Lonchura striata: one gene and its partner. The protein of the gene in region 1 purifies or fractionates together with the protein of each later gene. This does not show direct contact. Links are inferred from orthologs where the notes say so. Each region holds a gene or a part of one and is shown on either strand. Other genes may lie near its edges.

What was found. Proteins that work in one complex are often made in the same cells at the same time.
Region 2: the proteins of OCIAD1 (region 1) and SLC6A8 purify together in Homo sapiens (co-immunoprecipitation; 3 studies listed by BioGRID and IntAct, with this or other methods). This does not show direct contact. The link is inferred for Lonchura striata from reciprocal best matches to the Homo sapiens genes OCIAD1 and SLC6A8.

Annotation. Positions count from the first base shown.
Region 1 is NC_134606.1:26,071,607-26,079,149, reverse strand, and holds the start of OCIAD1 (OCIA domain-containing protein 1), read right to left. Parts: upstream 3,008-7,543; 5' UTR 2,980-3,007; coding exon 2,929-2,979; intron 1,615-2,928; coding exon 1,530-1,614; intron 1-1,529. UniProt on the Homo sapiens protein: Maintains stem cell potency. Increases STAT3 phosphorylation and controls ERK phosphorylation. May act as a scaffold, increasing STAT3 recruitment onto endosomes. Involved in integrin-mediated cancer cell adhesion and colony formation in ovarian cancer.
Region 2 is NC_134614.1:15,520,677-15,527,887, forward strand, and holds the start of SLC6A8 (sodium- and chloride-dependent creatine transporter 1), read left to right. Parts: upstream 1-4,146; coding exon 4,147-4,252; intron 4,253-4,516; coding exon 4,517-4,735; intron 4,736-5,083; coding exon 5,084-5,215; intron 5,216-5,799; coding exon 5,800-6,073; intron 6,074-6,149; coding exon 6,150-6,282; intron 6,283-6,530; coding exon 6,531-6,665; intron 6,666-6,756; coding exon 6,757-6,860; intron 6,861-6,963; coding exon 6,964-7,088; intron 7,089-7,167; coding exon 7,168-7,211. Other genes in the region: USP19 (ubiquitin carboxyl-terminal hydrolase 19), read left to right, coding at 3,026-3,166. UniProt on the Homo sapiens protein: Creatine:sodium symporter which mediates the uptake of creatine. Plays an important role in supplying creatine to the brain via the blood-brain barrier.

The DNA of each region.
Region 1 (7,543 bases):
ATAACGTGATTACAAACCAGTAACTCCAGTAAAGCACATATTAAACTCAATTGTGAAATGACTAGTGGCAGAAGCTGTCAAAAGAAACTATGACAAAACAGACAGCTTGTAAGAATGAGTAAAATTTGCTACAGCTTGAAATTTGAATAAACAAACTGAAAATACACAAATTTATAGTAACCTCAGTGAATAACAAAAGCTATCAAAATACAAAGTGAGGATTTTAGGGCAGTCACACCAGCACCCTCTTGCAAAGGGGTGTTGAAGCAATATGTATTTAATACAGTGAATACAACAGTCTGGTATGTGTATGCGGACCAGGGAAACAAAGACAGGAGACCTAGAACACAGTGATGGACTTTAGGCTATCACAGTGAGATAACAGCACAGTACACAACCCCTGGGAAAAAAAACTGTTACTGTTGTAGTTCCCTAAAGGGAAATGACTCAAGAAACTAACTTAGGGCTTTCAAGTAATACCTACATGTTGTTTCTTCAGGGACTATATAAAGATGCACAGGACAGTAACCTACACTGCCAAGCAGCAGAACAGCTTAGGAACAAACAACTGTCTCTCGTCTTTGTCTTCCAAAAGAGAGATTATCAATAAACCATAACCATCATCATACCACTAATGGACCTGCCTCTTTCGCTTATAAAATGACACAGAACATGGCTACATTGTAGCAAATATGCTGAAGATTTCCAAGTATTTGTGTAAAAGTGGATGAGGAGAATGCCAAACCAATGGAGAAAGACAAAACAGAACTTTGAATCATTAATTCAAAATCACAATGCCTTAGGAGCTGTCCCTGAAAGTATTGGCTTCCATGAGAAATCAGAGCCCCAGTGTGCTAAAATTAGCAAATCAGCCACTGAATTCTTCATCTCCTGTTTTTTGCCAAGCCATCTATCAGCATCAGTAACCTACTAGTGCGTGATAAAACAGCAGGTAACAATCACATCAGAAGGCCTTTTTAATCCTCGTGACCAGGTGTACAAAAATCAAGTATGCCTTGAACCTTAGGGTTACAGACACCATGCACTGACACAGCAATTTTCTCCAAAAATTCAACAGAGTGACTACCTATATATTGTTCTCTTCAGAGGTCTCTATAAAAATGAAAAGCAATGGTTATAAGTTAAACTATTTTATTCTTGCATGTTAAAGATAAAAATAAAATATGAAAATAAAAATGCAGAAATAACACAAAAAAGAAAATCCAGTAATATCAATGAGACTCATTAATTAGATCTATTTTCAGACTTTTAATAACCACAATAACTTAAAATATGAAGAGATCTTTTTATGAGGTATGAAACTTAGAAATTATGCTGTACCTTTTATGAAACTGCTGCAAACTCTTAGTAAATACTACATGGATCAGCATTTGCTGGGACACAATTCCAGTACATGTGAAGCTCATTAATGCTCTGTTGTGCTATATTGACCCAGGCCCTCTGTAATGCCTCAGCAAAAGCAAAGGGTGTAAGGAAAGCAAGCAAGTTTACCAGCATAGTGAGCTTACCTCTATACCGAAAACTCTCTTCAGCACATTCCTTGAGGAGTCTTCTTTCCTCCTCTGTTGGAACATAAGGCTTTGGTACTTCCCTCTTTCATTAGGAAAAGTAATTAGAAAAGAATGGACAAAACAGTTAGGGGGCATTTTTCAATCAATAAACTTAATGTCTAACTTTCATACCTTGTAGTTTCTACACTTTCACCCTGTTATACTTAAGAAACCAGTGCCTTTTGTCCATAAATGTTACATGAAATATGTAATTAAAAAAAAAATCCATTGCTTCTAAAAATTATAGGAGAGAGCAGGAAATACTTTGTGCATAGTCAGATCCCAACTTAGCTCAGTCCTTTTACTTCAGAAAAGCCTGCTTTGGTCCCTCTAACCAGCCTTCCAAATAGCTGACATCTGACAGACCATTAATCGCCTTTTCGAAGTATTCCTCATGGTTTCAAGGACAACAGGGTGTGTTGTTGGTTTACACAGACGCAATTCAGCGAGAGCTGACCTGCTGTTTCACCAGTGTGTGAGAGGTTTGTGTGGAGGTGCTGACCCTGTCCCGCCAGGCACACTGCCAGCCAGGAGAAGCACAGCGGTGAGAAGGCCATTGGCACCAGGGGGACAGAGAGTTGCAGAATCAGTTGGGTTGGAAAAGACTTTTGAGGTCATCCAGGACTGAACACCACTTCCAACTGAATAGTAGCACTAAGTGCCATGTCCAGTCTTTCCTAAAACACCACTAGGGACGGTGACTCCAGAACCTACCTGAGCAGTCCATTCCAAATCTAACGACCCTTCCTGTGAAGAAATTCCGTCTAATGTCTAATCTAAATCTCCCCTAGTACAGCTTAATGCTGTGCTCTCTTGTCATATCGCTGGTTGCCTGGGAGAAGAGGCCGATCCCCACCTGGTTACAAGCTCCTTTCAACCAGTTGTAGACAGTGATAAGGTCTCCCTGAGGCTCCTTTTCTGCAGGATAAACAACCCCAGCTCCCACAGCCACTCCTCATAAGACTTGTACGCCAGACCCCTCACGAGGCTGCCCTTCTCTGGACATGTTCCAGCACTTCAGCGCCCTTCCTGAACCGAGTGGCCCAAATCTGAACGCGATACTTGAGGTATGGCCTCACCACTGCCGAGTAGAGGGGGATGGTGACTTCCCTGCTCCTGCAGGCCACACTATTCCTGATACAGGCCAAGATGCCACCTCGATGTCTCACGGTCAGACAGGAACACCTCCTTACCTCCTGCCAGGATCCCCCACCCGGCCCCCAAGAGGCCTCAAGGGCACCGGCCCGGCGTGGAGCTCAGGGCAGGGGCGGCCGAGAGGCCGACAGGACTCCCCTTTCCCGAGCCCGCCCGGCCCCGCCAGGTTTCCCCGCGGAGCGAGCCGAGCCAGCGCAGTTACCTGGGCCGCGTCGCCGCCGGGGCCGGGCCCGGGGCCCTGCCCGGCCTCCATGGCCGCCGCGACCCGGAAGTGCGCGCGGCGCACGCCGGGCGCGGTGCGCGTGCGCGGGCGCCGCGGGGCGGCGGCACCGCCGGCGCTGGGCGCGGGCCGCGCTCTCGGGAACGGCAAAAGCTTCTGTCCGTCCCTGCCGGCTCCGGATGGCGGTACGGTACCCCCAGCATTGCTACCCGCTTGCTGAAGATGCTTGGCCAGAATTGCCTAGAAGGAAAGCATCTCTGTTGCCTAAAAAAAGAGGTTTTCTGGGTGAGGACTAAGCGATGGCTGCTGGGCAACTCTTGAGCTCGAGAGCAGTATAAATTTGAATTGTCATGGAGTAGAAGACTAGGGAGTTGTGTGCTTGATTCTAGTCAATGCCATGGCAGCTCTAGCGGGTGCCTGCAGTTTTTGAGAAATAAGGAGAAGCTGAGGGGGAAAAGAAAGGTTTTCATAGTGCAAGGTATGCCTTGACATGTTCTTGTAAACAAGCAGTACTGTGGCTTGAGCTCGCCATATGCCGATATGCCCATACTTGCCTGTGGAATGTACCACTCCCTTTAAGCCTTTTGCAGAGCAAGCCATTGTCTCTTTACCCCAGAATCTGGTTTAAATTGCAGCTTTCTGATGGCTGTACATAAAGGGCCCATGCCTGAAGATAGGAGAAGGAAGGTCTTTGAGATTGAAGGTCTGAAATTGGTAGAGAACTATAAAAGGAACACTGTGAACATGTGAAGGGCATAGGGCAAATAGACTAATGAAAGCTATAGAGGAGATAGGATTCTTGAAACAAGATAGGTGAATAGAACCAGAAACTATGTATACTGGGGTTCTTTTATTCATACCTCTTATCATAAAATACATATATTTTTAATTTATTTTTGTGGGGTTGGCCATGCTTGAGCTGCTGATGACTCTGAGCTGCTGTTTTGCTCCTCTCTTGTAAGATTGATAGTTATCCATTCAGTTTTCTCACTTTACTGTATTCAAGTCTCTTAGACTTCTAATGGGGAAAAAACTAAAATCATGCAGCAGACTGGTGAGTTTACCATCCATTCAAAAATATTGTACAGCCTGCTTGTGAGGTACTTTAAGGTTTCACCTGGCTACATACATCCATTTGCTGGCTTAGAACTTCAGTTGTAGAGCCATACATGAAATAGATTGTAGGGCATATCTACATCCTTGGGACTTCATTCTCTGTACTCAAGACCTGTTTTTGGAGTTCATTCATTGAAATAAATGTTAACAAGGACACCCTTTCTGACCCTCTGGTCTTTTTTTTACAGCTTCCTTTATAATCATGCTATCTTTCATGTAACTAAGAGAACTTCAGTTTACAATTGGTGATTGCATCACCAAGTCCTTCTGATAAACATGAAATGTTGTTCTCTTGCAAGGCTTAAGGCTAGATATTTAACCCGTTTCTTGAATACTGTTTTCTCTAGTTTCTGCTTTAACAGGTGCCATTATGCAATATGCCAATTTTTGTTTACAAATCTATGCACTAGAGTATTTTTTAAGGTAAAAACTCTCAGGGATCTTGAACTGTTTGTTTTACCAATAGGCACAATGGTGCTTTGACACTTCAGCAGATGTTTTATCGTTGCTGTTTTGTATTGTTTTAAACACAAAAATAATAGATTATTTGTAATATCATAAAGTTATATATTTTTAGGCCACTTTATGAGTCAAAATTATTTTTAGAAGTATTACAACTCACGTATCTATGCCTCTTAAACTTTTTCTCCTTTATGACTTAGTATTATGCAAGAATGAAGAATATATTTGAGATTCAAAATACTGTAATAAAAAACTTCATAATTAACCTTTAGAAATTGGAATTTATTTCTTGTGAAGGAGATGCCTCGAAAGAAAAATGAAAACTTTAAAATCACGAGATTCTTTTAAAACGAGCTGATTACTTAGGTTAACAAGTCGGAAAGTGTGAAAATCACATGGTTTCTAATAGCAGTACTTTGCAAAGCAAAGTGGTGAATATTCAGAACTCTTGAAGATGGAACTCCAAGAATTATTAGGGTGAGCTCTGTGCAGTCTGTCAAGTGGTTTAAAAGTTTCTGTTTTTGCTAAATTTTTTTCATTCCCTTGTTAACAGTCAGTGAGAGGTTTTATATAACTCCACTGCAAAACAAAGAGGTGGCCTAACAAGTTTTACAATGCTGTATAAGACATAACTGAAACTATTAGATATATGAAATAGTTGTAGTAAACGCTGATCTGGTAAGGAAACTCTCTAAAACAAGTACTGGAAGTGTATGTACTCAATTACAAAGAACAATGTGAATGGTGATTTTTTTTTTTGTTGGTTTTTTTTTTTTTTGCTTGGTGTACTGGACAATACAGTAAAATGCAACAGCTGAGAGATTCTGGTGGCTGCCAAGAGTTAACAGGACTGTATTTGGAAAAATATCTCCCTAATGAGGAAATAACAGTGCCTCATACCAAAAAAAAAAAAAAAAAATCATTGTTGTAACTACTGCAACTGGTGGCAAACAAAGAATCAGTTATTTGCCTGAAGCATTATGGCACATCAGCAAGAACCAAGAGTGGGTGTCTTTGAGGAGCTGATAGTCAAAGCCTCAATTAGTAAGGACTTTACCTGTATAGATAATGATTTCCATTAATATTAACTGGTACTGTAATGTATTTTGAAAATTATTTTACATGTTAGCTGATCCTTAGAGCTATTTTGTAAAGTTGGCATGTAAAGGAGCATTTGGGTTCTGAAAGTGATTGTACATCCTGTGAAGTTCAGGTGCTCAGGGTTAAATACCAGTGATCTGATTTTCATTGGTGGTGAGGTTCTGCTGCTTTTATCTGTTATCTGCATTTATTGGGAAGATCACTGTGGCCCTAACTCAGAATAACTTCAAAATCAGAAGCAACTTGTGACATACTTTGTTCAATCAATTGTGTGAAATGATGCACAACACCAGTAGCAATGAATCCTTTTTGTCCTGTTAGGTGCTCTATCACCCATGCTTGGACTGTAGTACAATTGTAAAAAGTACTCCACAAAATTCTTAGATATACAGGGAAGACTTAAGCTCAGCTACCAGGATACCTTTTTCTTCCTCTCCTGCTTTCTTTTCCTACTGGTTTCTGCAAGTTGATGTACATCATGTGTCTTAAGGGTATGCAGCACATGGACACAAGTAGTTGAGCATGGAGGGGCTTTTACTGCAAATAAACTATAATTGTACCAAGTGTGGTACAGAACTTTGAACTTCTAATAGAAAATTTTACAACTGTTGTGCTGGTGCATTTGTTCTTTGTACTTTTCCCTCAGTTCCACTTTTCTTGGCAATGCTTATTATAATACAGTACTTGAATGACAGGCTTATGTTTGACAGTGGGAAAATGTTGACTTCAGGATTCTTTCTAATAATGTTTTGCAAATCTTGTGTTATTTTGTCACACTTGACATGTATTTATTTTTCTTTCTTTCCCCCCACCCCGTTGTTGGTTTTTTTTTTTTTTTTTTTTAAAGCCTGGACGCTTTGAGGCACTTTAACAAAAAATATAGTTACTTTTTAACCTGTTAAAATGTTAATGTTGGTACTGTTGTGTTAACATTGGCTCCCTGATCTTTGCATTTTTTAGAAATACATTGTTATTTCCAACCACCAGACTTGTTGTATTAGTGAAATCCCGGCTAGTCCCAGTATCGGCTCAGTTTTCTGAGGATGATAATAATAATTATCTTACTACTCCGACTCACTGTTAGTGCGTTGCGATAAACCTTGGAGCCTGGCGCCTGCGGAGCTACATGAAATCAAAGCGAATATCCAATAGCCAGAGCAGTGCAAGTGCTTTATATGCCACGCCGGGGTGGCGGCAGCTTGCCCTGCCCTGCCCCGCAGGCTTCCTGGGAGCCAGGCTGCTTCTGCGAGGGAAGCCCGCCGATTCGTCTTGGAAGAACAACGCCAGTAATTCCTGGCAAAAAAAAAAAAAAAAATTCAATTGTGCAGCTGGCCGAGACACAAGTATTTGCCCTTATTCGCTGGGGGGAAGGGCGGATTTTCCGACCGCTTCCTGCGGGCGAGAGGAGCGCGCTGACGGCACGGGCCCGGCGCGGCGGGACCTCTGCGGGGCCGCACCGCCTCAGCAGCCAGGACACTTCCTTGATGTTTCCCAGCGACGCCGCTGCGTGCCCAGAAAGCCGTTTGATTCCCGGCTACCTTGATGACACCGGCCTTCCTAACGGCGGCGATCGGTCCTGCTCTGTCCGGGGGCGCGGAGACATGCTGGGCCGCCCTGCCCGCCGGCCCGGCCCGGCGCGGGGCTGCGCGGAGCCGGGCCGGAGCGCTGCCCGGGCGGCCCGAGGGGAGCGGCGCCCGGAGCGCTGCGGGGGCGGGACCAGCCGCCGCCCCGGCCTATCACAGCCACGGGAAGCGGGAGGGGGTCGGGGGCATCGCCAATCGGGGCTCGGCTCGCCCCTCGCTGCGTCGCGATTGGCCGCGGTGCGGAGGGGCGGTGCCTCGAGGGCGGGCCGGACGCTGAGGAGCCAACGGGGAGGGAGCGCGGGGGCGGGGCCCTGTGAGTGCCGCGCGCCTGCCCC
Region 2 (7,211 bases), on another chromosome or scaffold:
ATGCATTGGATCCCAGTGGGGCTCAGCAGGTCCCCAAGCACCCTGGACCACCTGCACCCTCCGTGGCACTCGGTGCCCTCCAGAGACCTGCTCCCTGACTGGCTTCTCTGCGCGATCACCGACATGAAGGGCCAAGCCGTGGCTGGCTGCCTGTGGAAAATCCTTCTGGAACCTGGGCTACAATTGGTTGTCAGAGCATTCCTACCCACCAAAGCAGAGCTGTGACTGGCTGTACTGGCACTGTGCCTCCTGCTCCTGCTGCTCCAGCTGGCTCTGGATTGGCTGTCATTTGAAAGATCCTGTCGGGATCACAGAAGCTGGGCTGTGACTGGCTGCTGCCTGCTCCCTTGCCTCCTGGATCCACCAATGCAAGTGCATCTGCTCCATCGGGATCCAGCTGCTGGCTTCACTCCCTGCAGTCCCGTGAAGACCCTGCCCCGCAGCTGCCCACGCTCCTTCCCACAAAGCCACCCACCGGAGCTCCACACACCAGAGACCCTGAAGAGCTGCGGGGGCGGGCGTGACCACAACGGTGCTGCATGGGGAGGCGGGCTGGCTGGCTGGGCACGGGGCTGGGCTTGCAGGCAGCTGCCTGCCCCGGGGGATGGCAAGGGGTGTTGCCCGTTGTGTTCTCCAAGTGCTGACGCAGGTTTCCACATCGCAGGCTTCTCTGATCTGGCAGGAACTGGAGGCTGAAGAACAAGAGCTGCAGCTTGAGGCACCCCAAAGGCCTGCAAGAAACTCTTGGAGGCCCTGTGGCCAGAAGCGAACTCCGGGCACCCCCCACCACCCAGATGAAGGCTGCATCAGATACTTTGTCCTGGCCACCACAGCTGCAATTGTGGCTCTCTTCCTGAACGTCTTCTACCCGCTCATTTACCAGCCCCGCTGGAGATAGGCCCAGGCGCGTGGCCAGCTGCGGGAGCAGGGCCGCCAGGGCACGCGCCGTCCTAGGACGCTGTGAGACGAAGACATGAGGCAGCAGGACAGAAATCGCTGGGAAAGACTCGCCAAGGGAAACATGGGGCTGTCGGCTCCTGTCTGTCTGCCCTGGCATCTCCTGTGCCAGCTGGCAGGCCTGTGTGGCCAGCCTACTACCTTGCCAAAGCACAGCCCAGAACCAGAAACTCCTTTGCCCTTCCTTGCTGCCCACTGGGAGTGGGGCAGGCCTCAAGGCTACCTGCTGCTCAAGAAGAGACGTTGCTGCTGCAGAGTTGCTGGGGCCTGAGAGCCCTGTGGGCACATCAACCATCTCTGCTTGGCTCCCAAGAAAGAAGTGGAGACCTGCCGGGAGGCTGCAGCAAGGGCAGGATGCCCTGACACGGGCCCTGGCTTGGCCACCTGTCTCAGCTGTGCTGCTGCACGAGCCTTGAGCTCCCCTGGGGCTGGGGCTACCCACGGTCCTTGGCCAGCCCAGTCTGCCCTGCTAGCCTTCTGCTGAGCCTTTTGGTGCCAGCTAGCTGCCTGTGCGCTGGGAGTGTGTCTGCTGCGCTCCTGTGCTGGGGCTTGTCACCAAGGACTTGTGTGCTTCCTTGCTGAGCCCCAGACAGCTGTTGGGGAGCCTGGCAATCCAGACTGAGGTGCCCATGGTGAGCACTCATCTCTGTGGGTCACTGCCTCCCACCAGTCCGTGGGGCTGTGTGCTGACAGCATCTGGGGGAGTTGTCTCTTCATGGCAGTGTGATGCAACACCTCATTTGCGAGGGTACCAGCTGCCCCTGCTGTGGGAGAGGCATGGAGGGAACATAGATATGACCATGGTACATTAATAAAGCCAGGTTTTCCAAAGAATTGCAGCATTCCTGTCCTGTGTGCTGGGACTCCCACACAGAGGCGAGGACTCCACACTGGGGTCACCTGAGGCCGCTCTGTGACCCAGCTGGCACCAGGACCATCTCTTGGGCTTTGCTGGGTGTCTGGTGCACCCTGTGTGGCAGCAGGCTCAGGGGAGAGCTCTGCCTGCTCATGCCATGGGGCACAGGCTGGGCTCTAGTCCCAGCTGCAGAGTGAGAGCCTCACGGGACACGTGCAGGGCGTAGGGAGACCAGCAGGGCCAGGAGCAGGCAGTCCCCTGAGGCTGGAGCACAGGCTGCTACTCCAACCGTGTCTGACATTGAGACGTGTTGCCCTTGGCTGAGCGTGGCTCACACAGCTCTGGCATATTTGGGTGTGAGAGGTGACTTCAGAGCCCTGTGACTTTCTTTTCCATCTCCACTGCTGTTCTGCTGGCAGTGCCCTCAGCTGGCCCGGGAAGGATGTTTTTGCAGTGAAGGGGTTTGTTTGCATTTTAGGCTGGAGGCTGAGCTGGACTCCCCCTACCTCTGTCCCTCTTCCACGTGCTGAGGTTTACTCCCCTCCCAAGCACGTCCCAGCCGGGGAGCCCGTCAGGGCTGTGCCGTGGTCATGAGGTGCCTGTCCTGGAACAGTTGCCTCATTGTCTACAGCCCTGGGTCTCAGCAGCTTCCCCCGCTCACCCACAGTGCTGGCCTCGTGGGTCTGAGTCAGTGCCCGGCGCCGGTGGGCTGACCTCTGCTCCGACTGGTGCTGGCACCCCAGGGTTGGGGCCCACAAGCTGCTGCCTGCACCTACCTGCCCTCATTGGCGGTGGGTGGCCGGCAGCTAGGCCTGACAAGGTGCTCTCAGCCCTGGAAATCCCCTCTGGCCCTGCTGTGTTCCTCAGACCTCCGGCAGGCACTGGCAGCGTGCCCGTGGCCTGTCCCTGCTGCCCGTGCTGGGTGCAGGGCTCCGCTCCGACCGCCAGTGGCTGAGCAGCCCTGGGGCAGGAGTGTGCTGCGGCCTGGCTCTGCTGCAGGGCCGGAGGGGCTGCCTCCAGCGGCCCTGGGCACGCTGCTTCCCTCTGCCCTGCGTGGGGCTTGCCACCAGCTGCTGCTCTCTAAGCCCAGGGGCTGCACATTCTGTATGTGGGGCTGTCCCCCCGGGCACCTCTCCAGCCCCTCAGGAGCAAGGGAGGGAGATGGGTGGGCAGGGTGCAAGTCTCCCTCTCATGCCCACCTTCTGCTTGCAGGGTCTGCCCCCGGTGCCGTTCGGATCCGGCCTGGCCCCCGAAGGAGCCCCGCCGCTGGCTGCGGAAGGCCTCCCCGAGCGTTTTGCCAGCCCCGCCGAGTGCCCAGCCCCCTCCTACAGCAGCATGGAAGAAGTCGACTAGGGTGTCATGGGGGGCCTGGCCTGGGAGTGTGGGCCAGGCACTGGGGGGTGGGGGGATGGGGGAATCGGGGTTTGTCCTGCGCTCATTAAACTCTCTGAACTCCACTCGCCTCTGCTGCCTGCTATCCCTTGGACCCTCTGCCTGGTGCGTCGGGGCACCATGTCCCCAGTGTGCTGTTAGGACTCCCAGCACGCTGCTGCCCCGGGTGCCCTCGTGCTCCAGTGTTCCCTAGTGTGACTTGGTGCTTGCTATTCCCCAATATCCCTCGGACCGATGCCATTGCCGGGTGGGGGACACGGTGTTCTGTGGTGCCTGCTGCCCCGTGTGCTCTGCTGCTGGCAGCACCCTGTTGTCTGGTGTCCCCTGGTGCAAATCGTGTGGCTTTAGTCCCTCGTGTCTTATCCTGTGCCCTGTTGCTGGTGGGGCGAGATGTGCAAGTCCCGGAGTTCTAGCGCCTGTTACGCGCTGAAGTGCCTTGTCTGCCGCTGTCACCTGCTGACCCTAGCGCTCGCTCCCTGGTGTCCCCGGGTGTGCCCTGCTGCCTTGTGTCTCCCGTGCCCGGTGTCCCCCGTTGCCAACGCCGTCCCTCGCGGTCCGTAGTGCCCGCAATCCCGCCGGGTGCGCCTTGTCCCGCCGTGCCCCCCGCCTCGCCCCGGGGCCGGTGCCAGTGCGTCGGAACTGCAAGTCCCGTCAAGCCGCGGGCGGGCGGCGCGGCCAATGGGGCTCGGGGGGCGGTGCGGCCGGTCGCTGCCTCCGCCGCCGCCCGGTGCCGCGGCGCAGAGAGCCCCGGAGCGGCCGCGCGGCGCCGGCCCCGCAGCCCGGCTCTGAGCCGCCCGCCCGGCCCGGCCCGCCCCGCCGCGCCCCGCCGCCCTCAATGAGGTTCTTCCGACTCACCTTCAAGTGCTTCGTGGATTGCTTCTGAGCCCCCCTCGGCCACGGAGCCGCCCCCGACCCGCCCCCGCTCCCCGGCCCCCCGCGACATGCCCCCCGTTCCCACCGACACGGCCGCCCCGCAGCCGCCCGACGCCCCGCGACGCGACGCCGCCGCCACCACAGCCGCGGCCGCCGCTGCCCCCGCGGGCTCCGGTAAGCGGGGAGCGCCGGGGAGGGATGAGCGTGGGGAGGGGAAGAGGGGGGCCCACGGCCACGCGCGACCGCGGCGCGCCCCCTCCCGCCGCCGCGGGGTGAGTCACCGCTCTGCATTGTGACGTCACGCGCCGGCCTGACATCTGACGTCACGCCCCTACGCGCGGAGAGGGGCGCGCGTGGGGGGCGGTGCTTCCCCCCCCCGCGCCCCCACGGGCGCGCGTGACGGCGGCGTGGGCATCCCCACTCCCCCCGTCTCGGCAGAAGGCTCCGGCGGGGCGGAGGGCACAGAGCCCCCCACGGCGGGCGAGGAGCGAACAGTGACGGCACCGCTGGTGCGACCCCCCGGTCCCCCCAAAGAGGCCGTCCCCGAACGGGAGACATGGACCCGGCAGATGGATTTCATCATGTCCTGCGTGGGCTTCGCCGTGGGGCTGGGCAACGTCTGGCGCTTCCCCTACCTGTGCTACAAGAACGGCGGAGGTGAGGCTCGTGCTCGCCCCACGCCGCGGGAGTGCGCCCCGCGGCGTGGGGGGCACCCCCTGCCGCCCCAGAGTGTGTGCCTGGGGGTCACCCCACGCTGGGTCGGCTCGCCCTGAGCCTTCGAGGGGCTCGTGGGCCACCCCGCGGGGTTCCGGAGTCACTCACGGGGCGGGGGGTCGTGGGAGCCCCCCAGCACCTGCCCGTGCTGACCTACATCGCGGGAGGGGAGGGCGCGGAGGCGCCTTTGCCATTCGCTGCGTCCGGGCGGGCGGCGCGGGGAAGGGGGGAGCAAAAGGGGGGGCCGGGGGGACGGCGGCGGCTGAGCCGGCCCCCTGCCCCCGGCCCCAGGCGTCTTCCTCATCCCCTACCTGCTCATCGTCTTCGTGGGCGGCATCCCCATCTTCTTCTTGGAGGTGGCTCTGGGACAGTTCATGAAGCAGGGGGGCATCGCCGCCTGGAACATCGCCCCCCTCTTCAAGGGTAACGCCGCGCCCTGCCCGCACCCTGCCTGCACCCTTTCCGCAGCCCCTGCACCCTGCCCAGGGCCCCCGGCACCCTGTCTGCACCCTGACTGTGCCTCGGCTGCACGAGCCTGCTGGGGCTGGCAGCACCCTGCCCACGCCCTGCCTGCTCCCCTGCACCTTGCCCGCGTCCCACTGCCGCCAGTGCCGTGGCCAAGGATGGCAGCTGCCTGCACCTGTGCCCCGTGGCACCCTGTGCTGCCCTGCCTGCCTTGCCTGCCCCTGTGGCTCCTTGCCTGCATGCTGCTGGATCCCAGGCAGCTGCTGGATCCCCACCTCCAGAGGTATCTTGCCGGCTCCCCCCTGGTCCTGTGCCATGCTACCAGCTGTCCCCACCCTGTCCTGTCCTGCCTGGGCCTGCCAGCTTCCCTGTCCCATTCCCACCAGCTCTCCCGTGTCCTGTCCAGGGCTGCCAGCTTTCCCTGTCCTGTCCCTGTCAGTTCTCCTCTGTCCTCCCCCATCCCTACAACACCCCGCATCCCACTCCATGCTGGTGGTAGATGCCCACAGGTGCCTGCGGGCTCTGATCCCCCCGTGCCACAGGTTTAGGCCTGGCCTCTATGGTGATCGTCTTCTTCTGCAACTCCTACTACATCATGATCTTGGTGTGGGGGCTCTTTTACCTGGTGCATTCGCTGACAAACACCCTGCCCTGGGCCACCTGTGGCCACTCCTGGAACACGGAGCAGTGCACGGAGCTCTTCAACCCGGACTTGTGCCACAATGTCAGCACGAATGCCACTGCCATCACTTGGACCTCCAACTTCAGCTGCACCGACATGTCCAACAAGCGCTCACCTGTCATTGAGTTTTGGGAGTGAGTGTGGGAACCAGGAGGGTGTTGTCTGGGGCTGGGGGTGTCTGCTGGTGCTCAGCACAGCCCCGCTCTGCAGGAACAAGGTGCTGCGTCTCTCTGGGGGCCTCAGCGAGCCAGGGGAGATGAACTGGCAGATGATCATCTGCTTGGTTACCACCTGGATCGTTGTCTACTTCTGCATCTGGAAGGGTGTCAAGTCGACTGGGAAGGTAATGCTGGCGGGGGGAACATGCATCAGGGCCACAGGCATGAGAGAAGACTGCAACACATGGCACTGCTGGCTCCTGCCCTCCTGTGCCACAGCCCACAGGGGTGGGAGGCCTGTGTCCCACATTTGTCCAGGAGGTGCTTCCAGCTGCTGGGGACATTCCCAACCTCTGGTCCTGCTGGGACACCTGTGGCATGTGACAGAGAGCTCTGGCCTGGGGGGGTCTCATGGCCACCCACTGCTCTTCAGATTGTCTACTTCACGGCACTCTTCCCGTATGTGGTCCTCATCCTCCTGCTGTTCCATGGAGTAACACTGCCTGGCGCGCTGGGTGGCATCATCTACTACCTGAAACCTGACTGGTCCAAGCTGGTTGAGGCACAGGTGAGGGCACCGGGGAGAGCAGCAAGGAGCTGGGTGCTGGACAACGCCCTGGCACCCTCATCACCCCCTGACATCCTCCCTCACGTCCCAGGTCTGGATTGATGCTGGCACCCAGGTGTTCTTCTCCTACGCCATCGGGCTGGGTGCCCTGACTGCACTGGGCAGCTACAACCGCTTCCACAACAACTGCTACAGGTAGGGCTGTGCCAGCTGCAGGCAGGCGCCCTGCTGTGTCCCAGTGGCCCCCTGGGGTGTCCCCCAGTGCCCCCCAGCACTTCCTTACATGCTGTGCCCACAGGGATGCCTACATCCTGGCTGTGATCAACAGCTGCACCAGCTTCTTTGCCGGCTTCGTTGTCTTCTCTGTGCTCGGCTTCATGGCCTCTGAGCAAGGCGTGGACATCTCCATGGTGGCCGAGTCTGGTGAGTGATGGGCGGTGGGTGCCAACTGTGTCTTCTGTGTCACCCCTTGAGTGACATCTCTGACCCCACACTCCTGCAGGTCCCGGGCTGGCTTTCATCGCCTACCCCAAAGCTGTGACGCTG